Saccharomyces cerevisiae S288C: one gene and its partners. The gene in region 2 interacts genetically with the main gene of each other region. Each region holds a gene or a part of one and is shown on either strand. Other genes may lie near its edges. The genes, in order: MGT1, PEX9, MRPL19 and GPH1.

Evidence for each region.
Region 1: mutations in PEX9 (region 2) and MGT1 together harm fitness more than expected from each alone (negative genetic interaction), as found in Saccharomyces cerevisiae (one large-scale study listed by BioGRID).
Region 3: mutations in PEX9 (region 2) and MRPL19 together harm fitness more than expected from each alone (negative genetic interaction), as found in Saccharomyces cerevisiae (one large-scale study listed by BioGRID).
Region 4: mutations in PEX9 (region 2) and GPH1 together harm fitness more than expected from each alone (negative genetic interaction), as found in Saccharomyces cerevisiae (one large-scale study listed by BioGRID).

Annotation. Positions count from the first base shown.
Region 1 is NC_001136.10:99,961-102,651, forward strand, and holds MGT1 (methylated-DNA--protein-cysteine methyltransferase), read right to left. Parts: upstream 1,108-2,691; coding exon 541-1,107; downstream 1-540. Other genes in the region: TRM8 (tRNA (guanine46-N7)-methyltransferase), read left to right, coding at 1-461; YDL199C (uncharacterized protein), read right to left, coding at 1,330-2,691. UniProt on the Saccharomyces cerevisiae protein: Involved in the cellular defense against the biological effects of O6-methylguanine (O6-MeG) and O4-methylthymine (O4-MeT) in DNA. Repairs the methylated nucleobase in DNA by stoichiometrically transferring the methyl group to a cysteine residue in the enzyme.
Region 2 is NC_001145.3:308,175-312,277, reverse strand, and holds PEX9 (Pex9p), read right to left. Parts: upstream 2,071-4,103; coding exon 526-2,070; downstream 1-525. Other genes in the region: STB4 (Stb4p), read right to left, coding at 1-122; SPO20 (Spo20p), read right to left, coding at 3,596-4,103.
Region 3 is NC_001146.8:291,676-294,380, forward strand, and holds MRPL19 (mitochondrial 54S ribosomal protein uL11m MRPL19), read right to left. Parts: upstream 995-2,705; coding exon 518-994; downstream 1-517. Other genes in the region: ubiquitin-specific protease UBP10, read left to right, coding at 1-201; YNL184C (uncharacterized protein), read right to left, coding at 882-1,208; serine/threonine protein kinase NPR1, read right to left, coding at 1,462-2,705.
Region 4 is NC_001148.4:859,321-864,573, forward strand, and holds GPH1 (glycogen phosphorylase), read left to right. Parts: upstream 1-1,985; coding exon 1,986-4,694; downstream 4,695-5,253. Other genes in the region: beta-glucan synthesis-associated protein KRE6, read left to right, coding at 1-425; YPR159C-A (uncharacterized protein), read right to left, coding at 994-1,095; cyclin-dependent serine/threonine protein kinase SGV1, read right to left, coding at 5,129-5,253. UniProt on the Saccharomyces cerevisiae protein: Phosphorylase is an important allosteric enzyme in carbohydrate metabolism. Enzymes from different sources differ in their regulatory mechanisms and in their natural substrates. However, all known phosphorylases share catalytic and structural properties.

The DNA of each region.
Region 1 (2,691 bases), on a different chromosome or scaffold from region 2:
ACGTGGAGGATAGAATTATTGCCTTAAGGAACAATACAGCTTCAAAACATGGATTTCAAAACATTAATGTCTTGAGAGGTAACGCTATGAAATTCTTGCCCAACTTTTTTGAAAAGGGCCAGCTTTCTAAAATGTTTTTTTGTTTCCCCGATCCTCATTTCAAACAAAGAAAGCATAAGGCAAGAATTATCACTAACACCTTGCTGAGTGAGTACGCATATGTTTTGAAAGAGGGCGGTGTCGTGTACACAATTACAGACGTCAAAGACCTGCATGAGTGGATGGTAAAACATTTAGAAGAGCATCCTTTATTTGAACGGTTGAGCAAAGAATGGGAAGAAAACGATGAATGTGTGAAAATAATGAGAAATGCCACAGAAGAAGGTAAAAAAGTGGAAAGAAAGAAGGGTGACAAGTTCGTCGCTTGTTTCACAAGATTACCAACGCCAGCCATATTGTAACATAGATGTATAACTAGAACAATTTACCACATATACATAACTATTTCTTATGTTTATTTTCCTAAAATCCTTTATCCAACTACAATCTACTAAGGCTTAAGCTATTTTCCTTTTCATTATTTAATAACTGTTCTTTCAGTTTACAGCTCCATTTATATCCGGTTAATTTTCTATTGCTACCAACGATTCTATGGCAAGGTACTAACAATGCCAGGTTATTTGAGCCGCAAGCTCTTCCGACAGATCTTGCGGCAGTTGGCTTCCCTATTCTCTTTGCAATATCACCATATGTTACGACGTGGCCGTGTTCCACGTTTAAAAGCTCATTCCAAACTTTACGTTGAAAATCTGTTCCAAACAGGAACTCAAAGGGAATAGCGCCCGATGGTAATGGCATTTTGTTTTCTAAACATATTGTATAATTTTCGATTGATTTCTTATATGTTTCTGCCTCTTTTAGTTCCTGTAAATCGTACATTGTATCCTGTTTCTCATGTTTCTTCAAGAAGCCTTCCACCTTTCCCAATAAAAAAAGCTTATCATTACCTAACGAGGCAAAAACAAGGTTTTGAGTCTTTTCCCTAAACACCAAAAATGCACCAGTCACTTCAGTTTCAATGAATGTATAGTAAAGCAGTTCCTTCATCGTTGGTCCATTTAGATCAAAAATGCGACCGTTTTCAATTTTTTTTTTGTGCATATGCTATATCATTACTTGATTAATCTTCCTTGTTTCCACCGCATTTTAAATGCCCTGCCAGGCCAATAGCGCCGTGCCTTTTTTCTAATGACTATAATAAGAATATGTATGTAGGATAAAACTAAACATTTATACTTAGGATGAAGCAAATATTTTTATGAGGCCATACTAGGCAACTGCCATGTCTCCAGGCGAATTCTGGCCTCCACCTGAACTGGGTTTATTCGCAGCAATGTTGTCGCTGATATTTGGATCGGTTCTGTTATGAAAACTGAAAAATTCTCCAGTCCTTGATGGTCCTGAATCAGATGTAATGAAATAAACATTTTGTGCAGAACCGTGTGTCTGGTTCGATAAGTTTCCGTTTTTGGGTAGAATCTGCTCATTTTGAATAGATGAATAGGCTTGATTATTTTGTTTGATACTACTTCCTAGAGTGTTTATCTGATACGCGGAAAAAGATGGTGAGGAGGAGAATTCAGAACCGGTATCGTCAAAAACATCATCATGGTTACCGCTACCGTTTCCGGTAGAATCATCATCAGAATCTAACCTTTCGTCACGGGTTTCTATAGGAAAAATCTTCAGCACAAATATAATGGAAATAAAGGAAGATAAAGATGGAATAAGATAAAACTTCCAAGACAGACGGTCAATAAGTATAGGGGTTATTAAGCTGACGAACCACTTAAAAATCCAATAAAAGTTTGAGACTAGTAGTATCACTGGGGCCTGTGACAAGTGAGGTAGAAGCTCAATGGTCATAACCCATCCTATAGAATCCCAACTGATGAAGTGCGTAAAAAGAAAAACAGCAAATAGTATTGATATATACCTCGTTGTGCTCTTGGGAAACCAGTCTGTAAAAGATATGGTAAATAGCAATGCACACATCACAATCGAACCTAAGAGTACATTCGTTTTCTCTTTACGTTTCCGTAACACCAAGGGAACATATGCTAATATTACGATGCTGTAAATTAAAGCATTAAGCCCCGTTAAATAGATAGATTTTCTTTCTCCTCTCCCCATTTGTTGTAATATTAACGGTGAGTAATACAAGAAAGCATCCACTCCATTTGTTCGTGTGAGAAGTTGGAAACCTATCAACAATTTTATTATTGAAGAAAAATCCTTTAAGATATACGCATATGGATAGGAGTTTTTTTGAAGGTGTGACTTTAATAATATGTCTCGTTTCAGGACCCTAAATTTCAACTGAGTTTGGTTTTCTTCGAAATTTCCATCATCGAAAACATTCGATATTAAAACCAATGCCTCTACGTCGTTCTTTTGCTTCAACAGCCACGAAGGGGACTCTAAAATAAGATAGAACGACATTAGGTTTAGTATTATTCCAAGTGCCACATGTGTTGACAAAGGGTATCTCCATGCAAAGCCCAAATATCTGAAAGCACAATTAATCCATATTCCGAATGAATACGCAATGACACTAGAGACGCATTGAATGGAAATTAATGTCCGTTTTCTTATACAGGGAAGGGGAAACTCGAATTGATAAATTATTAC
Region 2 (4,103 bases):
TCAATTTGCCGACTTCGTGCTAAAAAAAACTGAAGGAGAACAATCACTACGATGATGAGCTTGATTGCTACTGAACGATGCTCAAATACAAGTATATAATATATTTCATGATTGATACTCATGTTCAGCCGGGTATCTTTTTTCTTTGTTTTGAGAGGCTGACGGTGACTCTTTTAATTTGAACAAGGAAATGTATCATGCACGTATGACAGAGAGAAATAGTAGTACAAAAATCAAATATTACGTGAATACGTGAGATGAATAGCCGATATTAAGTAGATAATGAGAGGTTTCAGACGAAGCACATAGTAAACTCAGAAATATGCACTTGCGCGATAAAGTGAAATTACCTTCATATTCTTGCAAGAGGAACTTATATTTTTGAGAAGAACTAGCATAAGCTTGCTGTGTTTAGTGTTCCTTTACGCAATTAGCTTTTCGAACGTCCAATAGCATATTTGGTTTGTTTCAGCTTTAATTTTTTTTATTTTGAATGCACTATATAGCAAAAAAATTAACTAAAACCTAATCCATTTTGTTATAAATAGCTTTTAAGGTTGATATTAACGATTCTGTATTATGAGAACCATTTATTAGATCAAGTGAATCAAAATTTTTTGAAGCGATGAGAGCATTTTTTAAATTTTGCATAAATTTGTTTTGCATTTTTGCTTTGTTGTGTTCATATCCTTTACTTCGTAACAGTATAACTTCGATTAGCATTTTGCTTGCTTTTACATAGTCACCCTTATTCATGTAGGCGATCGCTAAATTATAACGAACCCTTGTAAAATTCGGTCTTAGTTGTTTGCATTTATTGTACGCATTTATCGCAGAGTGATACGACTTAGTATTGGCCAAAATAGCACCATATCTATTCCATATTGTTCCATTATTGGGCTTTTCCAGTAGTAAAAACTCTAAGCATTTCTGAGATTGCTTTATTTTCTGATCCGAATAATATAAGATTGATAATACTGAATATATATCATACTGATCTTTTTTTTCTATACCCATATTCAACAGGGATTCTAGAATATGCGCCAAATGGGCCTTTTTCGGAATTTTATTAATGCTATCTTTGTTTTCCCCCGCAGAAGGTTGGAAAACCTTCGAAAATTTTGAAAGAATCCATTTGTGAAAAAGTTTCAATGACTCTGATTCATTTTGTTGATTTATATGGTGAATTGCTAAGTTTTCCAATGCAATTGTATTATTTGGATCCAAATTTAAGCAATTTCGCAAAGCAAGCTCTCCATTGCTTTCGCTTTCATTTTCAAAATTAACTATACCTAACTTCAACCATGCATTTATATGGCTTGGATCTTGTGAAATGGCTGCTTCAAAGGCCATTACTACTTCGTTCAAATTGGAACCGTTGTCCATTAGTACACATCCTATTTTATATGGGTCCCGTTCCGTTATGTAGATGTTTGATTTTAGGAATTGATATGTTTGTGGTACGGATGACAGCATATGCATGAAATCAATTGTTTCTTCGTATTCTGCCACATATTCATAACCAACAGTTTTTTCTTCTACATTGTTTTCTATCTTTAGCTCATTTAGTAACTGATTTTCGATTGATTTGAACTGAAATTCCCAGCCATTAGAAACAGATGAGTGTTCATTGTAAGATATTCGACAAGGATATATACGATTTTGCTGATATGCCGTACTATAATATTGTGCAAAGTACCTATTGTGCAAATTAGCGGAGCGTTTCTCATGTTTGTTTCTACTGGGCTTGGTCACATCAGCATTTTTATTCTTGGGGAAACAAGAGAATTCCTTTGACCACTGGTTCTCAAGTCTTGAAAATTCTTTTTCGCTGACACCACTATGTTGAGATTTATCTGCCGGTAGTGCGGCCCGAAAATCTATCTTACCAATACTGCTGCCGGTTTGACAATTGGTAAAGATGTAATCTATTGTTCTAGCATCTCGCGCGGCGCTATCGTTAGTCTGAAAATCAGAGAATTTACCCAGATTATTCCATTTCAAGCCTAATCCATTGTTGATCTTATGAATTGGGTTGTCACCAGTTATGGAACAAGTAACTTCGTTCATCGTGCTTACAAAAGGTACCCTTTATTCTTAATGATTCTCCACTCAAAAAAAAAGAATAAAATAAAATAAAACGGATAAGAGTACGAAAAAAAGTGATGACCTTTTCTTTATTTATTGCCACTGTTTGGGTGAGAATATTGGGGTAAGAGCGCTTTGCCCCAAGTTTTCTGTACGATTTCAATGCGTATCAATCATCCTCTCCGGCGTTAGTAAGGTACTACCAAGGCCTCTACCGTTCCCAGGAAACTCTTCGGGTTTTGTCTGCGCCGCGCCGCTCTGATTGCTTTTCTTTTGGCGGCTATTTAAGTTCCCAGGTGCACATCAAAACCGGCAGGAAGCAAAGTAAATTAAGTTTGCACTTACAAACCCAAATAAGATCTCAATGTATTGCGTGCGCTCATATTCACATATGCGCAGGAACAATCTTGTCATATCTGAATCAGGCTGACGCATCCATGTCGTGTACATTTCTTGTAGGCTTGAAACTTGAACGGTACGAGAAACAAATTGGAAACGAATAAAAAAGTAAGAGAAGGAGGACATCCTCGTCCAAGTTGCGGTATGTATGCGGCAATGAACTACTCCGAAAAAATGCGGAAAAGAGGCATATTTGACCCAAAGCAGTAAAGAGTTTCGTTATATCAACCGTGGCGGGATAGCATTCGGTGGTCTGACAATTAATAGGATGATCGGGCTAGGGCTGGGCTTGTGGAAAAAAGGATAGTAAAAATTTTCTCTAGTAGCATACGATGTGATGCTTCCAATTTTCAGAACATGTTTGTACAATAACTCTATTATTGATTTTTTTTTTTACTAATATCGTTTGTAGGGTAGAATTATTCTTACTAAATATCCTTTTCAACTTAAACATATACGGACGCTTGAGATACACTCTTGTCTTAATCCGCTCGATCTTGGTAAGGGCGTTGTGACGCTTAATATAAAAGGCAAGCGCAGAATATAATTTTTCCGCAGCATAAGCACCCAATCAAGACAATTCTATAGGAATAGTGTGGCATACGCAGTGATTACCGGAAACCCTTCATAATGTTTTCCTTTTTCCCAACAAGATTGAACTTTGATATCGTTTTGTAACTAAAATCTTTTTTGACAAATGAAATTATATGAATTATAACTTATCAACTTTATGAGAAGCAAGTAGACTTGGTACTGTAAAAAATATAGTCCCACGACAGCGGTATCTATCTTTCTTACCCTCTTTTACTTTTCACAAAATCATGTTGATTTTTCAGTTAACCCAGTTTAAGATCATGAATGGAACGGGAAACAAATACGTAACAACTGGGAAAAACAAACCTGCCGATGTTTGAATGCACTTTATTTATGGGAAAGAGAAAGCTTTGTCTGACAACTCCGAAAGAAAATACAAAGAAGAATTGAGACCTTCAGTACTAATGTCCCCCTCGCTCTTTTTTTTTTCTCTTTCGCAAGAATATCTGCGTATGCCTTTTTAGAAACTATTTATTCAATATATTTATACACGATATTTTGTGTGTATAACAGATCACCATCTTTTCCCGATCACTTTCTCCAATCTATATCGCTTGGCCTGTAAAGCATTATCTGCCTGCTGTACATTGTTCTCGATGTCAAACATTCTAGTGTTTTGTGCTTCAAACTCTCTGCCAAAAGCGTGAGCCATAATTTTCAAGTCACCACTCACCGCTTTTATTTGTTCTAGGTTTCCGTACAAGTCGATTTCCATTTGGTTATCTTCTTCATCGGCTTCAAACTGATACTTCTGGGCATCTCTAAGAATACGCTGTCTTTCCACCCCTTGGCCATACCGTCCATATTCAGAACTTAGATTTATGGCTAAATTTTTGTCAGAATCTTGGGCTCTTTTCATAGTTTCTTGCTGTAAGTGACGATGCTTTAACTTCAAATTGTAGATCTGGTCTCGCTTTTCTCTCTCCCTTTTCTTCCTGAAGGGGTTGGGTGATTTTAATGCAAGCAGGCTTCTATTTTCATGGGCAAGTTCGTCAATCTTTCGGTCGGCTACGTTAGATTGA
Region 3 (2,705 bases), on a different chromosome or scaffold from region 2:
TATCTCCTATACACGAGGCTAACTCCAAAATCGGTTCCATTGCCATTGGCGAAATCTGCCATGGCCACTGGTAATGTTACCTCTAAATCCAAACAGGAACAGGCTGTTAACGAACCAAATAACCGCCCATTGAAGATTAATAGCAAGAAAAATAACAGAAAAAAATGGAAAAAAAATAAAAAAAGGAAGTTCACCAAATGAAAAAACTCGATATTCCTGGATTTTCCTCTTTTCATAGGCATTTTTATTAGCATTTCATTTTTATTATACCAAATCAATATATACATATAAATATCCGGTCTTTATTGACTTATAAAACAACTCTCAGTATACAGAGTTGGAGAAGCGTTTACTCAGAATAGCTTCAGTACTACCGAGCTTTGCTAACATAACGGGAGAAAGAGAATTTAAAACTTATATACATATTTACAGAATAGATCAGTAGAAAGAAGAAGGAAGGTCTGTTGAAAATTTCTCGAAATTGACGGTACTTTTTTGTCTTTTCACTACTTACAGATCAAGGTACAACCTTAATACCCATACTTTTTGCAACGCCAACTATTGATTTAACAATACCTTCCATCTCCAATAAACTATGCCTTTCATCACTCTTTTTTATCTTGGCTATTTCGTAAACGTGCTTCAGCGATAACTCTCCTAAAGCACGGGTTGGTCCCTTGGCAGGTGCACTGCCTAACATTGTCCCCACATTCGGTTGTCCATGTCCCTTGTCCATTTTAAGAGCTTTTAGCAGCAAATATCCGGTTGGTGGAGATTTCATTTCAAACGTAAATGTTCTATCAGGTTTTATTGTGATTAATACTGGAACCGGTACACCTGGCTGATAGTTTGCTGATCTTGCATTAAATTCCTTACAAAAGTCAATGGCTTTTATACCCTTGGAGCCCAATGCGGGCCCCACGGGAGGTGATGGTGCCGCTTGGCCTGCTCCTACTATTAGCTTTACTATCACGTTTTTTGCTGCCTGTGACATTATGGAGACTAATAGTTCCTCTATGGTATTCGAGAGTTCGAAAGTACAACAAACAGAAATAAATACAGAAGGTTACGCTGTCGATTTGAATGTTCACGCTTTTTTTCCTTCTTATGAGTTGTAGATTTACTGCACTTTCTAAAGCTTCTTTGCTGTGAAATTTTAGAAAAGGGAATTGTCGCCTTGGTAAGACAATTAATGTTACCCGCTTCATTATTATTAATTAGTGGCGCGATATTTTAACGAACTTTTCCATTAATTATTATCATACTAAGCTTTTACATTTTTCTGATAAAATAGTAGATTATGAACAGGAGGTCAATCTATTTAGGCTTCTATAGAACGGTAAAATATGAAATTAGTTTAACAGAAGTAAATATGACATTGTATTTTAACATATACTCAAATAGGATAAAAAAAGGTTATATACAAATGCTTGGAAAAGAAATAAAAGTGGGGACGCTTATTTATTGATTATTTTGCTTTTTCTTTTTCTTTTCTAGGCCTGCAATATGTGCTTCACTTTGATCCACTTGTGTGTGATGATGGTCTTCTCCTCTAACCACTTTGAACGATAATCCATCTTCAACCAAGTGGCACATATCAATGCTACGGATCCAAGGATCTTCCATGATTTCTTCGATATTTCCTCTGCATGCGGGCGCCAAATCAATCATACGTCCAACAATATGCTGAGTCTCTTCTGGTAATGAGTGCAACAATCTTTGTGGCCCGATATTAACATTATTAGGATCTGATACATTATTGGAAGAGCTTTCGGGTTTTTTCTTTTCTGTTGAGTGCGATTCATCGTAGGAAGGTGGATCAGGAGTTCTTGTAACCAAGCTACTTAAGGAGTCGCAATCACGTCCGGAACAAAATAGTTTGAATGAATTGTCCCTTAATTTCGGAATTTTCCATGGAAATTTCTTCAGTATCATACATGCAAAAATGATTGCAGAAGACCAAATATCTACGGGACGTGGGTCATACTTCGCAAATATACAGACTTCAGGTGCTAAATATGGATCACTTCCAACAATTCCACTTGCTTCCACAAGATTTTTTGAGAATGGATATGAAAATACCACAGCAGCACCAAAATCGATTAATTTTACAATACCTTTTTCGTTTATAACACAATTATCTAGCTTTAGATCTCTATGAGCTAAGCCGATACTATGCAAATATTGTACACCAGTAAGTATTTGTTTGAAGCAACAACAAATCTCTTCATAGGACATTTTATTACTCATTACAATAGCAAATAAATCGTATTCACAATATTCCATAACTTGGAGAATTCTATCATTTTCATACACGATTTCAATTGTTTCAATGATATTGGGATGATTCAAAGTTGTACCAATACAGTATTCTGATGTAATTTTCTTGACATAATCTCTTTTGGATTCATTTTCAAATTTAGTTCTAAACTCCTTCACTGCAAATATTTTGTTATCTGAAATTCTTTGAGCTAATTTGACAGAACCTCCTGCTCCAGCGCCTAAATCGGCACCGGTTTTGATGTACCTTTTTGAGAACGGAATTCCTGAACCGCCGTGACTATGAGAATAAATAGTATCTCCATTTCCGTTATAACTAGTGGAATATGAGTTATTCCCTGCGGCAAAATGAGACGATGAATGAGAGTGTGACGGAACGGCAATTCCGCTAGAAAGAGGTGATCCGTTCGGGATCACGTTGTTAC
Region 4 (5,253 bases), on a different chromosome or scaffold from region 2:
CCATTGAGTATCTGAACGATGACGACAATGGTTATATCCGTTGGTTTGTTGGTGATACTCCAACTTATACTATTCATGCTAAAGCCTTACATCCTGATGGTAATATTGGTTGGAGAAGAATCAGTAAAGAACCAATGTCGATTATTCTAAATCTGGGTATTTCCAACAATTGGGCTTATATTGATTGGCAGTATATTTTCTTCCCAGTGGTTATGTCGATTGACTATGTTAGAATATACCAACCAAGTAATGCTATATCCGTGACATGCGATCCAAGTGACTATCCAACATATGATTATATTCAATCGCACTTAAATGCATTCCAGAATGCAAACTTAACTACTTGGGAAGATGCTGGTTACACGTTCCCTAAGAATATCCTAACTGGTAAATGTACTAGCTCGAAGTTCAAGTTATCCTCTTAAGCGGGTATTTTGATGGTAAATCTACAAGCCCTCGGCTTTAATTATTACCATGGTCATAAAAAGTTACTTACAATGCATACATTTTTCTTTTAGGAAGAAATAAAATATAAAAGACTTATCGTTCAAATCGGGTCATAAAGGGAACTAAAGGTATACTAAGGTAAGACGGGGTTCTCATCTGCACGTAATTTTTTATTATTTTTAGTGAGGGAGAACTTTACCTCTAAGATTGTTTATATAGGTATACACATTTTTGTAAAACTGATTATTCGTTTTTTTTTTTGAAACAAGTTATTAGTACAAAAATCAAGCTCTCACTACTTACCAGTAGTTATTTTAGTAGAATATTATTAACTCTACCGAATAAGTACGATATGAGAAATTGCTGATTTACTTGTGTGTGTTCCTATTATTATCCAGGAGCGCCTCTAATCTATGCTTATAATTTTACGTTGAAAAAAAAGGAGTCTGTATAATTATTTCAAATTCATCCTTTTCTCACGGATATTGTGTACCCTATGAGGTAAATAATTGCGCTTTATTTTCTCCCTGTGTTTGCTCGCTCATCTTAAGACGAAAAAAGTAATGGAACACCTACCATCAATAGAAGTACCACACTCATGTAAATAACAAGCGCAAGTGGTTTAGTGGTAAAATCCAACGTTGCCATCGTTGGGCCCCCGGTTCGATTCCGGGCTTGCGCAGATTTTATTTTTTGCTCCCTTCTAAAGCTCTGGATGATTCACCAACTTATCCAAGGCAAGGTCCAACTACCGTTTCCTTCGATGAAAAAGACAATAGGTAGCTCTGTCAAACCCCGTGGAAACGCAAACTCATCGGGAGTGTCCTACTGCTTTCCACTAGTTATCCGACTAGCAAGGCAACTAGTCAAGATGAAACCGTCTCACGAACATTTGTATACGATCTCTTCTCCTGATAGACAATGAAATATACCCCGGTGCTTGTTTCCCACTAAGGAAAAAAGGCCGCTGCCCCACAGCGGGAAGGCCCTTCAAGGGGTAGCGGCATCGCCTAGTAGCACTGTGGGGGGAAGAATACAACGCTCAACGGAAGAGGAAGCTCTGCGAGATGCAGCCAGCACCTTCTATGTTTCAAGGATAACATTTTGAATTAACAAGGAACGCCTTCCCCAATTACCGTTATTGTATTTTTACTTTTTAGAGACTCTCGAGGAAATAAGTAAGGGGTGGATAATTTTCGCTAAAAAAGTTTCAGGGGAGGTTAATAACTACCATGTGCATGCTACAAAGATAAGGAAGGAACACCGACGAATATATTATATGTATAAAAGGAGCATGAAGTTTGTATAGCAGTAAAGCAAGATTCTTTGTGCCTTCCCGTTTCTTGTTGTACCTTTTGTTTTGATTACGTACGAAGTATTATAAGTTTTTTCTGCTTGCTATTGTAATATAAAGTAAGCACAGATTGAGAAGGTAACGATTACTAAAAATATCCAAAAGAAAAACAATTGGATCTTTTTTGACTTCTCTACATTACAATTTCAGTAAAGCAGCTTTCAACTTAATTTAATTTTGAACAATGCCGCCAGCTAGTACTAGTACTACCAATGATATGATAACCGAAGAACCTACTTCTCCACACCAAATCCCAAGGCTTACAAGGAGACTTACGGGGTTTCTTCCCCAAGAAATCAAGTCAATTGACACGATGATTCCTTTAAAGTCAAGAGCGTTATGGAATAAGCATCAAGTCAAAAAATTTAACAAGGCAGAAGATTTTCAAGATAGATTCATTGACCATGTGGAAACTACATTAGCACGTTCCCTATATAATTGTGATGACATGGCTGCTTATGAAGCTGCTTCGATGAGTATTCGTGACAATTTGGTCATTGACTGGAACAAAACTCAGCAGAAATTCACCACAAGAGACCCAAAGAGAGTTTACTATTTGTCTTTGGAGTTTTTGATGGGTAGGGCTTTGGATAATGCCCTGATTAATATGAAGATTGAAGATCCGGAAGACCCTGCTGCCTCAAAGGGAAAACCAAGAGAAATGATTAAAGGGGCTTTGGATGATTTAGGTTTCAAGTTAGAGGATGTCTTGGACCAAGAACCGGACGCAGGTTTAGGTAATGGTGGTCTAGGTCGTCTTGCAGCTTGCTTCGTCGACTCAATGGCAACGGAAGGCATCCCTGCCTGGGGTTATGGTCTACGTTATGAGTATGGTATCTTTGCTCAAAAGATTATTGACGGTTACCAGGTGGAAACTCCAGATTACTGGTTAAATTCTGGTAATCCATGGGAAATTGAACGTAACGAAGTGCAAATTCCTGTCACCTTTTATGGTTATGTTGATAGACCAGAAGGCGGTAAAACTACACTGAGTGCGTCACAATGGATCGGTGGGGAAAGAGTTCTTGCTGTCGCGTATGATTTCCCAGTTCCGGGTTTCAAGACTTCCAATGTAAATAACTTAAGACTATGGCAAGCAAGGCCAACAACAGAATTTGATTTTGCAAAATTCAATAATGGTGACTATAAAAACTCTGTGGCTCAGCAACAACGCGCAGAGTCTATAACCGCTGTGTTGTATCCAAACGATAACTTTGCTCAAGGTAAGGAGTTGAGGTTGAAACAGCAGTACTTCTGGTGTGCTGCATCCTTACACGACATCTTAAGAAGATTCAAAAAATCCAAGAGGCCATGGACTGAATTTCCTGACCAAGTGGCTATTCAGTTGAATGATACTCATCCAACTTTAGCCATCGTTGAATTACAGAGAGTTTTGGTCGATCTAGAAAAACTAGATTGGCACGAGGCTTGGGACATCGTGACCAAGACTTTTGCTTATACTAACCACACTGTTATGCAAGAGGCCCTGGAAAAATGGCCCGTCGGCCTCTTTGGCCATTTGCTACCCAGACATTTGGAAATTATATATGATATCAACTGGTTCTTCTTGCAAGATGTGGCCAAAAAATTCCCCAAGGATGTTGATCTTTTGTCTCGTATATCCATCATCGAAGAAAACTCTCCAGAAAGACAGATCAGAATGGCCTTTTTGGCTATTGTTGGTTCACACAAGGTTAATGGTGTTGCTGAATTGCACTCTGAATTAATCAAAACGACCATATTTAAAGATTTTGTCAAGTTCTATGGTCCATCAAAGTTTGTCAATGTCACTAACGGTATCACACCAAGGAGATGGTTGAAGCAAGCTAACCCTTCATTGGCTAAACTGATCAGTGAAACCCTTAACGATCCAACAGAGGAGTATTTGTTGGACATGGCCAAACTGACCCAGTTGGGAAAATATGTTGAAGATAAGGAGTTTTTGAAAAAATGGAACCAAGTCAAGCTTAATAATAAGATCAGATTAGTAGATTTAATCAAAAAGGAAAATGATGGAGTAGACATCATTAACAGAGAGTATTTGGACGACACCTTGTTTGATATGCAAGTTAAACGTATTCATGAATATAAGCGTCAACAGCTAAACGTCTTTGGTATTATATACCGTTACCTGGCAATGAAGAATATGCTGAAGAACGGTGCTTCGATCGAAGAAGTTGCCAAGAAATATCCACGCAAGGTTTCAATCTTTGGTGGTAAGAGTGCTCCTGGTTACTACATGGCTAAGCTGATCATAAAATTGATCAACTGTGTTGCTGACATTGTTAATAACGACGAGTCAATTGAGCATTTGTTGAAGGTTGTCTTTGTTGCTGATTATAATGTTTCTAAGGCTGAAATCATTATTCCAGCAAGTGACTTGAGTGAGCATATTTCTACTGCTGGTACTGAAGCGTCTGGTACTTCTAATATGAAGTTTGTTATGAACGGTGGTTTGATTATTGGTACTGTTGATGGTGCCAATGTGGAAATCACAAGGGAAATTGGTGAAGATAATGTCTTCTTGTTTGGTAACCTAAGTGAAAATGTCGAAGAATTGAGATACAACCATCAATACCATCCACAAGATTTACCATCTAGTTTGGATTCTGTTTTATCCTACATTGAAAGTGGACAATTTTCTCCAGAAAATCCAAATGAATTCAAACCTTTAGTCGACAGTATTAAGTACCACGGCGATTATTACCTGGTCAGTGATGACTTTGAATCCTATCTGGCCACCCATGAATTAGTGGACCAGGAGTTCCACAATCAAAGGTCAGAATGGTTAAAAAAGAGTGTCCTGAGCGTTGCAAACGTCGGCTTCTTTAGCAGTGATCGTTGTATCGAGGAATACTCCGATACCATTTGGAACGTTGAACCAGTGACTTAGCTGGGAGTTTTTTTTATCTCTTTGGCACCCTTCTCCCCATTTCTAGTAAGCGCTTTTTTCTCTTTACTTCTTCTCTTATATAAAACGCCTTTAAAATAATCGTTATCGGTTTTTTGGCACTCTTTTAAATGGTATATATGATGTTACAGGAAAACTTAGTTGTTTTCATATTGAAAATCCGCGCAGGATAACGCTTGTGTAAAACCGAGTGTCCTGAAGGTGGGTAAGGCGGTCCTTATTATCACTTACTCGAACGTTGACATTGGTACAGTCCCTATCAGGTAGGATGTACTGACGTTTTGACAATAGTTTCGATTTTATGGATTGTTTGAAAAGAGCGAGACAGTGACAAAACGTGATAGATTACATAGTAGTCAGTATACAACTTTCCGTAATTAGCCACGAGGCCAGAAAGGAAGAGAGAATAGTATAACCTAATATAGATCTGCAATATCACTATTTTGGAACTCCTTAGACTCATCTGGTTTCGCTCTTTCATCCTTAAAGCTTCCATTTTTTTTCTCTATTGGTTTACTCGTAAGCTGATGCTGCCCCTGTG